2 linked regions of the Saccharomyces cerevisiae S288C genome follow. The main gene of each other region encodes a partner of the protein of the gene in region 2 in a complex. Each region holds a gene or a part of one and is shown on either strand. Other genes may lie near its edges. A codon is read from its position in the direction of its gene.

The links.
Region 1: the proteins of RPB7 (region 2) and RPB4 are in contact, whole or in part, in a crystal structure (PDB 5IP7), measured with the Saccharomyces cerevisiae proteins. Residues at the interface, in NP_010692.3 of Saccharomyces cerevisiae: Met1 (codon at 3,668), Phe2 (codon at 3,665), Phe3 (codon at 3,662), Ile4 (codon at 3,659), Lys5 (codon at 3,656), Asp6 (codon at 3,653), Leu7 (codon at 3,650), Ser8 (codon at 3,647), Leu9 (codon at 3,644), Asn10 (codon at 3,641), Arg21 (codon at 3,608), Gln24 (codon at 3,599), Leu31 (codon at 3,578), Glu33 (codon at 3,572), Val34 (codon at 3,569), Glu35 (codon at 3,566), Gly36 (codon at 3,563), Ser37 (codon at 3,560), Thr39 (codon at 3,554), Lys41 (codon at 3,548), Phe42 (codon at 3,545), Tyr44 (codon at 3,539), Leu46 (codon at 3,533), Cys47 (codon at 3,530), Val48 (codon at 3,527), Leu49 (codon at 3,524), Tyr51 (codon at 3,518), Asp52 (codon at 3,515), Lys73 (codon at 3,452), Tyr74 (codon at 3,449); in NP_012395.1 of Saccharomyces cerevisiae: Val3 (codon at 1,593), Ser4 (codon at 1,590), Thr5 (codon at 1,587), Ser6 (codon at 1,584), Thr7 (codon at 1,581), Phe8 (codon at 1,578), Gln9 (codon at 1,575), Glu22 (codon at 1,536), Asn23 (codon at 1,533), Ala24 (codon at 1,530), Ala25 (codon at 1,527), Leu29 (codon at 1,515), Gly30 (codon at 1,512), Glu32 (codon at 1,506), Phe33 (codon at 1,503), Gln37 (codon at 1,491), Ile38 (codon at 1,488), Asn39 (codon at 1,485), His40 (codon at 1,482), Glu45 (codon at 1,467), Leu47 (codon at 1,461), Ile48 (codon at 1,458), Ala49 (codon at 1,455), Leu50 (codon at 1,452), Leu52 (codon at 1,446), Ala55 (codon at 1,437), Val58 (codon at 1,428), Ile59 (codon at 1,425), Ala62 (codon at 1,416), Leu63 (codon at 1,413).

The regions. Positions count from the first base shown.
Region 1 is NC_001142.9:146,991-152,559, reverse strand, and holds RPB4 (DNA-directed RNA polymerase II subunit RPB4), read right to left. Parts: upstream 1,600-5,569; coding exon 934-1,599; downstream 1-933. Other genes in the region: mannosyltransferase YUR1, read left to right, coding at 1-847; serine/threonine protein kinase YAK1, read left to right, coding at 2,170-4,593; IRC9 (Irc9p), read left to right, coding at 4,349-4,741; protein transporter TIM17, read right to left, coding at 4,983-5,459. UniProt on the Saccharomyces cerevisiae protein: DNA-dependent RNA polymerase catalyzes the transcription of DNA into RNA using the four ribonucleoside triphosphates as substrates. Component of RNA polymerase II which synthesizes mRNA precursors and many functional non-coding RNAs.
Region 2 is NC_001136.10:1,273,502-1,280,742, forward strand, and holds RPB7 (DNA-directed RNA polymerase II subunit RPB7), read right to left. Parts: upstream 3,669-7,241; coding exon 3,153-3,668; downstream 1-3,152. Other genes in the region: DIT2 (putative cytochrome P450), read right to left, coding at 1-202; DIT1 (Dit1p), read left to right, coding at 1,101-2,711; mitochondrial 54S ribosomal protein uL23m MRP20, read left to right, coding at 4,145-4,936; ATP-binding cassette multidrug transporter PDR15, read left to right, coding at 5,709-7,241. UniProt on the Saccharomyces cerevisiae protein: DNA-dependent RNA polymerase catalyzes the transcription of DNA into RNA using the four ribonucleoside triphosphates as substrates. Component of RNA polymerase II which synthesizes mRNA precursors and many functional non-coding RNAs.

The DNA of each region.
Region 1 (5,569 bases), on a different chromosome or scaffold from region 2:
TGGGAAGACCCAATATGCTTTAATACCACCAGAAGATTGGAATCGGCCGCAATGGATTAACGATACACTTTTTGAAGAAAGACTTCGAGTCATGGAGGATGAGGGTGTTTTATATGGGGGATCCAAGTCATATAGAAATATGTGTCGGTTTAATTCTGGTTTTTTTTTCCGGCAGTCAATACTGGACAACTATGATTACTACTTTAGGGTGGAACCCAATGTCAAGTATTATTGCGATTTCCCATATGACCCGTTCAGAGTTATGAGATTGAAGGGCAAAAAATACGGATTTGTCATATCATTATATGAATATGAAGAAACCATACCAACCTTATGGGACGCGGTAGAGGAGTATTTAGTGGCCAGCGAAGAGACCATTTTACGTAAAGAGGACAGTGCCTATGCATTTTTGACCGATTCAGGGCTAGTTGGTAAGCATTATCCCGTTGTTGAAGCAAACTCTGACTACAATTTGTGCCATTTTTGGTCGAATTTTGAGATTGGCGACTTGAATTTCTTCAGAAGTGACGAATATAAGCATTTTTTTGAAACTTTAGATGCCAAGGGCGGATTTTACTACGAAAGGTGGGGTGACGCACCTGTACATTCAATTGGTGTCTCCCTACTGCTGAGACCTGACGAAATCATTCATTTTGACGAACTTGGCTATTTTCACTCACCGTTTGGCACCTGTCCAGCATCTTACGCTGTTAGGCTCGATCAGAGGTGTAGATGCAAAAGCGATGATGAAAGTGTCATAGATATAACCCCACATAGTTGTTTGATGAGATGGTGGAAAAACGGTAGCGGCAAATATTTCTTAAAAGAAGAGCAAGACGAGATTTAAAATCCTGTCCTTTTTCCTGTTAAATAGGCCTAACTTCCACAGGGTGAAAATTCATTACTAGTTACACACACGTATACATACAGTTATTAATAGAGTGTTTCTAGGTTTGACAATTCCTTTAGTATCCTTTCCAACTCATCGTCTGATATTTTATTGTTTAAGCTTGGAATTAAAGTCTTTGCTTCATCAGCTGTGTCACAGGCCAAAGAACCTAGTTGCGCCACTTCAAAAGGATGTAACCCAGTGCTTTTCAGAAGCTGTATAACTGCCCCGACGGTTTCTTGGTCTCTAAATCGGGAGAAATTTGTTAAATACTGCATGGTATTTTTCAAATCTTTATTATTTCCTCCCGTTGTCTGTTCTAACAGAACGTCGATAGACTCCAACTCCTTCTCCCTAGTTTCAGAATGCATAAAATCATCATCATCAGCGTTGACGTCATCTTCATCCAGATCATCATCTTCATCCTCTACTGCCGTAGTTTCATCATTGGCGTTTTCGTGCTTCAAATGCTTCTTCTTGTGTTTTTTTTGCGATCTTTTAAATGCTCTCCTACGTTCTACAAGAGCTTCTTTGATTACTAACCTGGCTTCACTTAGGTTCAAGGCAATCAATTCCTCCTCTTCACCCTGATGATTTATCTGTTTCAGCTGGAATTCCTGGCCCAGTTGTAGAGTAGCTGCATTTTCTTCTTCCTCCACTTTCTTCAATCTTCTCCGTCTTGTTTGAAAGGTTGATGTAGAAACATTCATTTTTCTATATTCTTATATATATATTTTCAATACGGATGAATATTTGTGTACTTTCGCCCTCAAACTCAACTTATTAAGATGCAGCAACCCATTCAAGTCTCTTTCTTTACTTTTGTCTCACCGTTAAGCATGTACGTATGTGTGTAGGTATGTTTAATAGCTACCTTGCAAAAAGTTTGAAGAATGACAATATCACTATTGTCGCGTTGCACGTAAATGACACCTAAAAAGGATTTAGGATTTGGAGAAAAAAACTAAAAAAAATATAAAAGGCCTAATAAAAATATCAAAATAGCGCGATGGCTTTATTAACCCTAACCGCCCCTTCTGAACCATTGCAAGCAATGCCCCCTCCTCAGATTTACCCCTTCTGGGCTGAACAATGAATGAGTCGCAATGCTAAACAGATATAAGGAAACAATTGGTGGGCCATTACTGGGGGTATTACACAAATTTCTCACTATTAGATTTGGGAATATATCGAAAGAAGAATTTTGGTGAAGAGCAACAGCCATTGTGCAAGGGAACATAATTTCGTTATCTTTTTTTCACATGCTAATTTGAGCAATCATGAACTCATCCAATAATAACGACTCGTCCAGCTCCAATAGCAACATGAATAACTCCTTGAGCCCGACCCTTGTGACCCACAGTGATGCTAGTATGGGCTCGGGTAGAGCAAGCCCAGACAATAGCCATATGGGGAGAGGTATATGGAATCCATCGTACGTAAATCAAGGCTCTCAAAGGTCTCCACAGCAGCAGCATCAGAATCATCACCAGCAGCAGCAGCAGCAGCAACAACAACAACAACAGAATTCTCAATTTTGCTTTGTTAACCCTTGGAATGAGGAAAAAGTAACTAATTCTCAACAAAACCTGGTGTATCCCCCTCAATACGATGACTTAAACAGTAACGAAAGTCTAGATGCGTACAGACGACGTAAATCTAGTCTCGTTGTACCTCCAGCCAGGGCACCTGCCCCAAATCCTTTCCAGTACGATAGTTATCCCGCTTACACCAGCTCTAATACGAGTTTGGCAGGAAATAGCAGTGGCCAGTATCCTTCTGGCTATCAACAACAACAACAGCAAGTATACCAGCAGGGCGCTATCCATCCTTCCCAATTTGGATCCAGATTTGTTCCCTCCCTTTATGATCGTCAAGATTTCCAAAGAAGGCAGAGTCTGGCTGCAACTAATTATTCGTCCAATTTTTCTTCCCTAAATTCAAATACTAATCAAGGAACAAACTCCATACCAGTCATGTCACCTTACAGGAGGCTTAGCGCATATCCTCCTAGTACAAGTCCCCCACTACAACCCCCTTTCAAGCAGTTACGAAGAGATGAAGTACAAGGTCAGAAATTGTCCATTCCTCAGATGCAACTTTGCAACTCTAAAAACGATCTTCAACCTGTCTTAAATGCTACTCCAAAGTTTAGACGTGCGTCGCTCAATTCCAAGACGATATCTCCCCTAGTCAGTGTCACGAAAAGCCTGATTACCACATATTCTTTATGTTCTCCAGAATTTACCTACCAAACGTCCAAAAACCCCAAGAGAGTACTTACGAAGCCCAGTGAAGGGAAATGTAACAACGGATTCGACAACATAAACAGTGACTATATTCTTTATGTAAATGACGTTTTGGGTGTAGAGCAGAACAGAAAGTACCTTGTGCTAGACATTTTGGGTCAAGGTACATTTGGTCAAGTGGTCAAATGTCAAAATTTGCTGACGAAAGAGATATTGGCTGTAAAAGTGGTTAAATCGAGGACAGAATATTTGACTCAAAGTATAACGGAGGCTAAAATTTTAGAGCTACTGAATCAAAAGATAGACCCTACTAATAAACATCATTTTTTAAGGATGTATGACTCCTTTGTCCACAAGAACCACTTATGTTTAGTGTTTGAATTACTAAGCAATAATTTGTACGAATTATTAAAACAAAACAAATTTCATGGGCTCTCTATACAACTTATCAGAACATTCACCACTCAAATACTGGATTCGTTATGCGTTTTGAAGGAAAGCAAACTGATTCATTGCGATCTGAAGCCAGAGAATATCTTGCTCTGCGCACCTGATAAGCCGGAATTGAAAATTATTGATTTTGGCTCATCTTGCGAAGAGGCAAGAACCGTTTATACATACATCCAGTCCAGGTTTTATCGTGCTCCTGAAATTATACTGGGTATACCGTATTCAACCAGTATTGACATGTGGTCGTTAGGTTGTATTGTTGCTGAATTATTTTTGGGTATACCGATCTTCCCAGGCGCTTCTGAATATAACCAATTAACAAGAATAATAGACACGCTTGGATATCCTCCATCGTGGATGATAGATATGGGTAAAAACTCTGGAAAATTTATGAAGAAATTGGCACCAGAAGAAAGTTCTTCTTCTACACAAAAGCATCGTATGAAAACTATTGAAGAGTTTTGCAGAGAATACAATATAGTGGAAAAGCCCAGTAAACAATATTTTAAGTGGAGAAAGTTACCAGATATTATTAGAAACTACAGGTATCCTAAAAGCATACAGAACTCCCAAGAACTTATCGACCAAGAAATGCAGAATAGGGAGTGTTTGATCCACTTTTTAGGCGGTGTGCTAAATTTGAACCCGTTAGAAAGATGGACACCACAACAAGCTATGCTACACCCCTTCATAACAAAGCAGGAGTTTACAGGTGAGTGGTTTCCTCCAGGATCGTCTTTACCGGGTCCTTCAGAAAAACATGACGATGCAAAAGGCCAGCAAAGTGAATATGGAAGTGCGAACGACTCTAGTAACAATGCAGGCCACAACTATGTCTATAATCCTAGCTCTGCCACTGGTGGTGCTGATAGCGTCGACATTGGTGCTATCAGTAAAAGGAAGGAGAATACATCTGGCGACATCTCCAATAATTTTGCTGTTACTCATTCTGTTCAAGAAGGGCCAACAAGCGCGTTCAATAAACTTCACATTGTCGAAGAATAAATCGTTATTTTGTCTGACTTTTCTTAACTACCCATTTCATTTTATTACGGCTTGGTGCCATAATGATATACTAAATAAATATGAATTTTGCCTTTTCTTAATTTTCCTTATACGTATAGTCATTACAATTAATAAAGTAACATTATAAAGTTTCTGCACTAGCTTTTGGCTTGTTGATATTTTCTCTTCAGAGATGAAGTATGGTACTTTTTCAATATATAATATGTACATGGTTGAGAGAAATGGTTGGTAATCTTGAAATAAAAGGCTGAAATAAAGTAAAAACGTAAAGGAGGCTAGTGCGATACGTCATTTATGTAACAAAAAACATGCCGAATAAGGGTACTTCCAACAACGATGAAAAAATGGCTCATATAATGTCTACATGCCTAAGCTTGCAGAGGTTGAGAGGAAGGTGCTTCGGGCAAAGGAGGAGCCATAGGTTTGGCTTGCCAAGCAGCATATCTTTGAAACATTAGTCCCACACCTTCAATCACACCCAACAAACAAGCACACGTGATCGAACTGTTCCTTGTATGCCTCCAACCACCTCTTACAGCTAAAGCGCCACCAGTGAAAAACCCTGCAATGATAGCATTCCATGGGTCCTCTCTCTTTCTAACGGCCTTCACAGCGCAATCAAAAGTCGAAAATAAACCACCCCACACACCAAAATTACCACCCAGTACGGGAGCACGCGCTTTAATGGCGCTCATAGCTCCTGAACCACGCTCACCTAATGGCGAATTTCTAAAACCTTTAATCCCATGCCAAACAACACCACCAATGGCACCCATGGCAAAAGCACCACCGAAATCATTTAGTATGACTATAGGACATGGATCTCTCGAATGATCGGCTGACATAACGCTCCCGTGTACTCTATTTTTCTTAACGCTTTCTTCTGAACTTGACTCTTTCACAGCTTTTCCATCTTTTGATGAGAATAGTGCTTTTATCCTCTGGATTTGGCATA
Region 2 (7,241 bases):
CACCGTATTTTTCCATTGATTCCCTAATATAAAGATCGTATAGCTCCGTTTGATCAATGGGAAATATTACTGGTAAAAATACTACATAAAATGGGATGGTGGGTATATTTTTGGGAAAGTTTAGAGGTGGGACAATGATTGCAAAGGCGACATAGGAAAGAGTAAGAAATAAAATCAAACACAGAAGCTTTAACAACTCCATTTTTAATGCTTTTTTCGATTTATTCTCTTAGTCTGAATCAAATACCATTTTGAAAAAACGAAAATATTTCAAGAAAATTAATGTATTTTTTTGCACTACCTAATATACTATTCGCATCAGGATGACCAGTCATTCCTCTTGTGGTCCGTGGCTTGTAATTTTCGGGAAAGATAGAAATCACTGCATTCATCGAAAGAAGTGAAAATAAATTGTATCGGGGAAGTAATGAGGGGTGGAATACGTAATTGCTTCTCAATTTGATAATACAAGTTACAGTCTTTTTATTGAGAGTCCCTGGAAGGAAAATTATTGATGTTTACCTTTTTTTGCGACGCGCGTCTGGCCATAAATAAAAGGGTTCTCTTGCCAAGAAAAAATAAAAAGGCGCCTTAAGGGACCTTCTATGACAAATATGGTGAGGTATGCAACCTCAATGAAGAGCAATGAGAAAATTTAAGGGGTAAGTAAGCATCGGAATTTGTTGTTTCCTAACAATTTGTCTAATTTACTCAATAATATCAGGAGAATTGATCGAAAAAAGCAAACCAGGAACCCCTCACAAATAAGGGAACATAAAGTAATTGCTCGTCTTTACATACATGGCACTCAATCCCAGACGTCGCGTGCTAAAAATCCTTATATTATTGGCCCCTCAGGAGTTTATTTGAATTTTGATTGCATTGCTTTCAGTGGACAGTATATCATAAAATTTGCAAGGGCATAGTGCCTGCCCTACGATGTTGTAAAACAATTTCTGAAAATAGGTTCAGAATCAAAAATGATGTATAAATATTGAAATAAATTTTCACATAAATTGTGCTCCTCCGCAAAGTCTTGACTAAATAAACAATTTGTTAATATCCTAATTCGGTAAAGCTTTGTCGAGACATTAACAAAAATGACATTTACTAGCAACTTGCCCTCAAGCTCCGAGCAGTCAATATCACCACCTGCCTCTTCATTTTCTTCATCGACTGATACGTTGAAAGATATTGATATTCCCCATAATGGGGCCGATTTGTCTACATATAGTAAATTTCTGGCCCTGTATTGCAGAAGCGACAAATGTGACGATTTTTACTCTTTAGAGGAAAAACAGAATTGTAAATTTGGAGACCAATGGCTCGACTTTATCAACACTATTCACAATCTGGACTTTTCTGAATCCGAAGTAAGTGGACGGGTTTCTGAAAGAATTTTGCCAGCTTCTTTAGCAAATAAATTTACCAATAATTTAGGAGTGGCAATAAAGATTTCTGAATATACACGCGATGACGAACGCCAGATTCGTGGGTGTGTTACAACAGTTGAGAATGAAAATTCTTTCAATAACTGGTTCGTATATCATATTTTAGACCAATCTCAATTATCTCTAAGTGAACATCCAATTGTAACCAAAGAAGTTAAGTATCACGAATTATTTGCAGATTTTTTTGAGAAAAATTTGAAAAACACAATAGTTAATGATCAATGGAATTTTGGTGGCCGTGATTATTTTATTGAACGTTCAAGATATTTTACCGATCGATATTTGAGAATTGAATGCATCTTGCCAGCGTTTCCATGTAAGTCATCTAATGAGCAAAAAGTGTACGGTTCCGTTCCTGACAAAGGCGAAGAACTCGCTTTGAAAAGATTAATAAAAGCCACACAAGACCTTGTCAAGATATATCCACCGGGTATGAAAATTTGGATAGTTAGTGATGGCCATGTTTTCTCCGATTGTATTGGGGTCGATGATGACGTCGTGAGTACTTACACGACCAAATTGCACGAACTGTATAAAAGAGTGGCTATACCTGGTGTTGACGCCATTGGCTTTTGTGGATTGAACGATTTATTTTTTAGCGGTGCAGCTAGTAAAGTTTTCGATCCAAAGTGGGTTAGTGATGTTGAAGTTGCACACTACACAGGAACTCAAATCTGTCCTAAGTCCGATTTGTCGAGACAGATTTTGATGAAAGGCTGTGATACAGATGCAGGTCGTTTGAGAAAGCAGATTGCAATAGAAGGACATCCAAGATTGCATCTGTATAGGGGCTTTTCACGTTTTATGATGGAAGATTTATCTCTACTGGAACATTTCCAAAGTTATTCCAGAAAAAAATTCAAGAAAATCATTTCAATGATCGCTTTTAACATGATTAAGAGAAATGACGCGTATTCGAACTTAGTGGAATTGATATTCCCTCATCATTTGAGAATTTCTATTCATGCGCACACTAACAGCGGGCCCAAATTTGGTATAAAAGTAATCTCCAACGAACAGTGTTCTATTGTTAGTTCGTTAGAAGACCTTGATGAACCCAAATTTGAAGATTTTTTACATATTCCCACACCTTGGCATAATTGTGTCGTGAAGGTTGAGGATGAAAAGGAGAAATACTTTTTGACAAAATCAAAAGTAGTCAAGGAGGCTCTCGAAAAGGGTATGTATGATGGTGTATGGAAAGATACTCGTTTCGATATTGGAGAAGGAGGACATTTCGTTATCAAGAAAATCTCTTAATAAAGTAAGAGCGCTACATTGGTCTACCTTTTTGTTCTTTTACTTAAACATTAGTTAGTTCGTTTTCTTTTTCTCATTTTTTTATGTTTCCCCCCCAAAGTTCTGATTTTATAATATTTTATTTCACACAATTCCATTTAACAGAGGGGGAATAGATTCTTTAGCTTAGAAAATTAGTGATCAATATATATTTGCCTTTCTTTTCATCTTTTCAGTGATATTAATGGTTTCGAGACACTGCAATGGCCCTAGTTGTCTAAGAGGATAGATGTTACTGTCAAAGATGATATTTTGAATTTCAATTGACGTAATTAATGATACTATTAATAATACAGAGCGTATATGAAGTATTGCAAATAACATGCACAGTTCTTTTGGGATGAGAATGATAATGAAAGGCGAAGGCGGGCGTTCAGAAAAGCGTTGCGGAGTAACAAGTGATTAAATAGCACCCAAATAATCTTCTTTGATACTACCGATTGCGTGAATAGAACTCACTTGACTGATACAACCTTCAATTTTAACTCTAATTCTACTTTTTATGGTGATGACATCCTCGGAACTTTGGTATGATGGTGGGTTTGAACCCGCATTAAAGGTTAAATCTTGAGGCATCAGATGCTTTGTCACAAATACTTTCATTGGACCTACTTGCACTTCGAACCCGTGCTGAGAACATGAAACGACTGTGCCGTCCACTACTTCCCCTTTAAATGGTTTGAAAACTACAGCTCTATATTTCACGTTGAACTCGGCGGACCCATCTGTGGGCAATATTCTCCCACGTTGAATATCTATATTATCATAGTCTAGGACACAAAGAATATATCCGAATTTACCCGTACACGAACCTTCAACCTCTTCCAATAGTTTTGTCTTTAGATATTGCTTCATTCGAGGACCGAAAAAGGACGGATGAAGGGTAATATTAAGCGAAAGGTCTTTAATAAAAAACATTCTCAGAAATTGAGTTATTTATACAGTGGTTGAAATGTGAATCTATTCTTGGACTTTCCCACTGTCTAATCGCAAAGGAGAATGGTGTAGGAGGAGAAACGGAAAAAGAAAGGCTATGATATTCTGGGAGAAGAGATAGGTGGACAGACCTGATCGACCCAATGTTAGAGAATAAATCGACGAAGTGAGCTTGTCTACGTTATTGGCATTTTCACTGGGATATAGGAATACCGCATTTATTTTCCTTGTATTTTTCAAAATAGCCGTTGAAACCCACAGAAGATCACTTAATACGTAATCGCGTTATACGAATTTTCTCGATGAAAAAGGGAAAACGATGGTATTAGAACTTGAAATGTACATACATTTCTTGTGGAGAACGTAACGCTACTAACAAATAATGTGCTTTGATTAGCAGGCTCCAACAGAAAAAAAAATAAAATAAAAATAAAAAGTACGCAACACCAACACAGAATATGCCACGATTGACGGTTGGAACGAAGAATATGTTGTATCCTTTGCAAAAAACACTTGCAGTAGGAAGTTGCAAGCCAGAGCAGGTTCCAATAAGATCACTAGCCTCAGTGGTGGAGAGTTCCTCCAAAATACTCGACAAAAGCGGCAGCGATCGCGAAGTAGATATAAACGTAAGCGAGAAGATTTATAAGTGGACAAAGGCGGGCATAGAGCAGGGAAAGGAGCATTTCAAAGTTGGAGGTAACAAAGTCTACTTTCCCAAGGCCAGGATCATCCTCTTGAGGCCCAACGCGAAGCACACACCGTATCAAGCAAAATTCATCGTCCCAAAATCGTTCAACAAACTGGATCTCAGAGACTATCTTTATCATATCTACGGCTTAAGAGCAATGAACATTACGACGCAGCTGCTTCATGGGAAGTTTAACCGTATGAACCTACAGACGACGCGGTTTAGAGAACCGCAGATCAAGAAAATGACTATCGAGATGGAAGAACCCTTCATTTGGCCCGAAGAACCCCGTCCGGACGAAAACTCCTTCTGGGACAGCACCACGCCTGACAACATGGAAAAGTACCGTGAAGAAAGACTTAACTGCTTGGGCTCAGACGCCAACAAACCCGGCACAGCATTCGACGGAGTCGTGGGGCCTTACGAACGGGTGGCCCAGCCTTTTATACCTCGCTTCTTAAAACGAGAGATAGACAATAAGCGAGAGCGTCACGCCGCCGAACTGCAGCGCGCAGATAAACTAATTGCCCTGAACAGGTACATAGAAGATCTACATTAGAAGGTTTCCCATTCCACCCCTTCGTTAACCCACACGCAAATACCCAGATAAGCATCTTGCACCCCTCACACTTGTATATACGGAGCAAACTACATAATCTCTAAACAGAAAAAAAAAAAAAGAAAGAAAATTAAGAACATTACTTTTTCCGAGCAACAAACGCAAAAATATATGAAGTGGCTGTAGAACATGCCTTACGGAAGAAAAGAATGATGATGGCATCCCCTTCCCCTGCCCTGGAAGGTGGCCTGTATTTCTGTTCTTTTTTTATTTTTGTTCGCGCAAAGAGCAAGAACATTGGTTGCTTTACTTATTATTTTCAGGGTCGCTTCCGCGGGATGCCATGCACGGATGCCTGCGGAGACAGTGGCGCGGAGCCGTCCGCATGCTCGTTCCGCGGAGAGTCTCGAGCGGGTCCGCGAGGGGCGGATCTGCAACGCACGGTGCCGGGGTTAAGGTATGGCACGATGGTAAGACGATGAGGGAAAAGAATACTGCTACTGCTGTGCGAGACTTTGGTAGTAGGGATCGGAAAGGGAGCATGTACATCTGAGGAATATATAAGCAGGAGCTCTCTACCTGGACCAAATTGCCTTCTTATGTTGCTGTAAAGAGATTTGCTAGTCTTGTTGTAGATACGTCATATGCAGTATTCAAGTATACTACTGTTAAGAACATCACATCACTAATACTATTAGCGTATAACAGTTACTATACGAATATATAAACACACACACACACAAGCAAACACACTTATAATTATCAAAAACCTATGTCATCAGATATCAGAGACGTAGAGGAACGAAATTCGCGGAGCTCGAGCTCAAGCTCGAGCTCGAACTCTGCCGCCCAATCCATTGGACAGCATCCATACCGCGGTTTCGACAGCGAAGCCGCGGAAAGGGTGCATGAGTTGGCTAGAACACTCACATCGCAGAGTTTACTATACACTGCTAACTCAAACAATAGCTCTTCCAGCAACCATAATGCGCACAATGCGGACTCGAGATCCGTATTTTCTACGGACATGGAAGGTGTGAACCCGGTGTTCACTAACCCGGACACCCCGGGATACAATCCCAAATTGGACCCTAACAGTGATCAATTCTCCAGTACGGCGTGGGTACAGAACATGGCAAATATTTGTACTTCGGACCCGGATTTCTATAAACCATACTCACTCGGTTGTGTATGGAAGAATCTAAGCGCCTCCGGAGACTCCGCCGATGTGTCATACCAGTCAACTTTCGCTAACATCGTACCAAAGCTGCTTACGAAAGGGCTCAGATTACTGAAGCCCAGTAAAGAAGAGGACACTTTTCAGATCCTGAAACCCATGGATGGTTGTCTTAATCCCGGTGAACTGTTGGTTGTTCTTGGGAGACCAGGGTCAGGTTGTACTACGCTGCTAAAATCCATATCTTCTAATTCGCACGGGTTCAAGATCGCAAAAGACTCCATTGTCTCTTACAACGGTTTGTCAAGCTCGGATATCAGGAAACATTACCGTGGTGAAGTCGTTTACAATGCGGAATCAGATATTCATTTACCGCATCTTACCGTGTACCAGACGCTTTTCACCGTGGCAAGGATGAAAACGCCGCAAAATCGTATCAAGGGTGTTGATAGAGAAGCGTACGCCAATCACGTGACAGAAGTTGCAATGGCCACATATGGTCTTTCGCATACAAGGGACACCAAGGTCGGAAACGATCTAGTCAGAGGTGTTTCTGGTGGTGAAAGAAAGCGTGTATCCATTGCGGAAGTCGCAATCTGCGGCGCCAGATTTCAATGTTGGGATAATGCCACCAGAGGTTTGGACTCTGCTACTGCTTTAGAATTCATCCGTGCTTTAAAAACCCAGGCTGACATTGGAAAGACCGCGGCTACTGTGGCCATCTATCAATGTTCTCAGGATGCTTATGATCTTTTTGATAAGGTCTGTGTCCTGGATGATGGTTACCAGCTTTATTTTGGGCCCGCTAAGGATGCAAAGAAATATTTCCAAGACATGGGCTACTATTGTCCTCCCAGACAGACCACTGCAGATTTTTTAACTTCAATTACAAGTCCTACTGAAAGAATTATTAGCAAAGAATTTATCGAAAAAGGTACTAGAGTGCCTCAAACGCCAAAGGATATGGCCGAATATTGGCTACAATCAGAAAGCTACAAAAATTTAATCAAGGATATAGACTCTACATTAGAGAAAAACACAGATGAAGCACGCAATATTATCAGGGATGCTCACCACGCTAAACAGGCAAAAAGGGCACCACCTTCCTCTCCATACGTTGTCAACTAC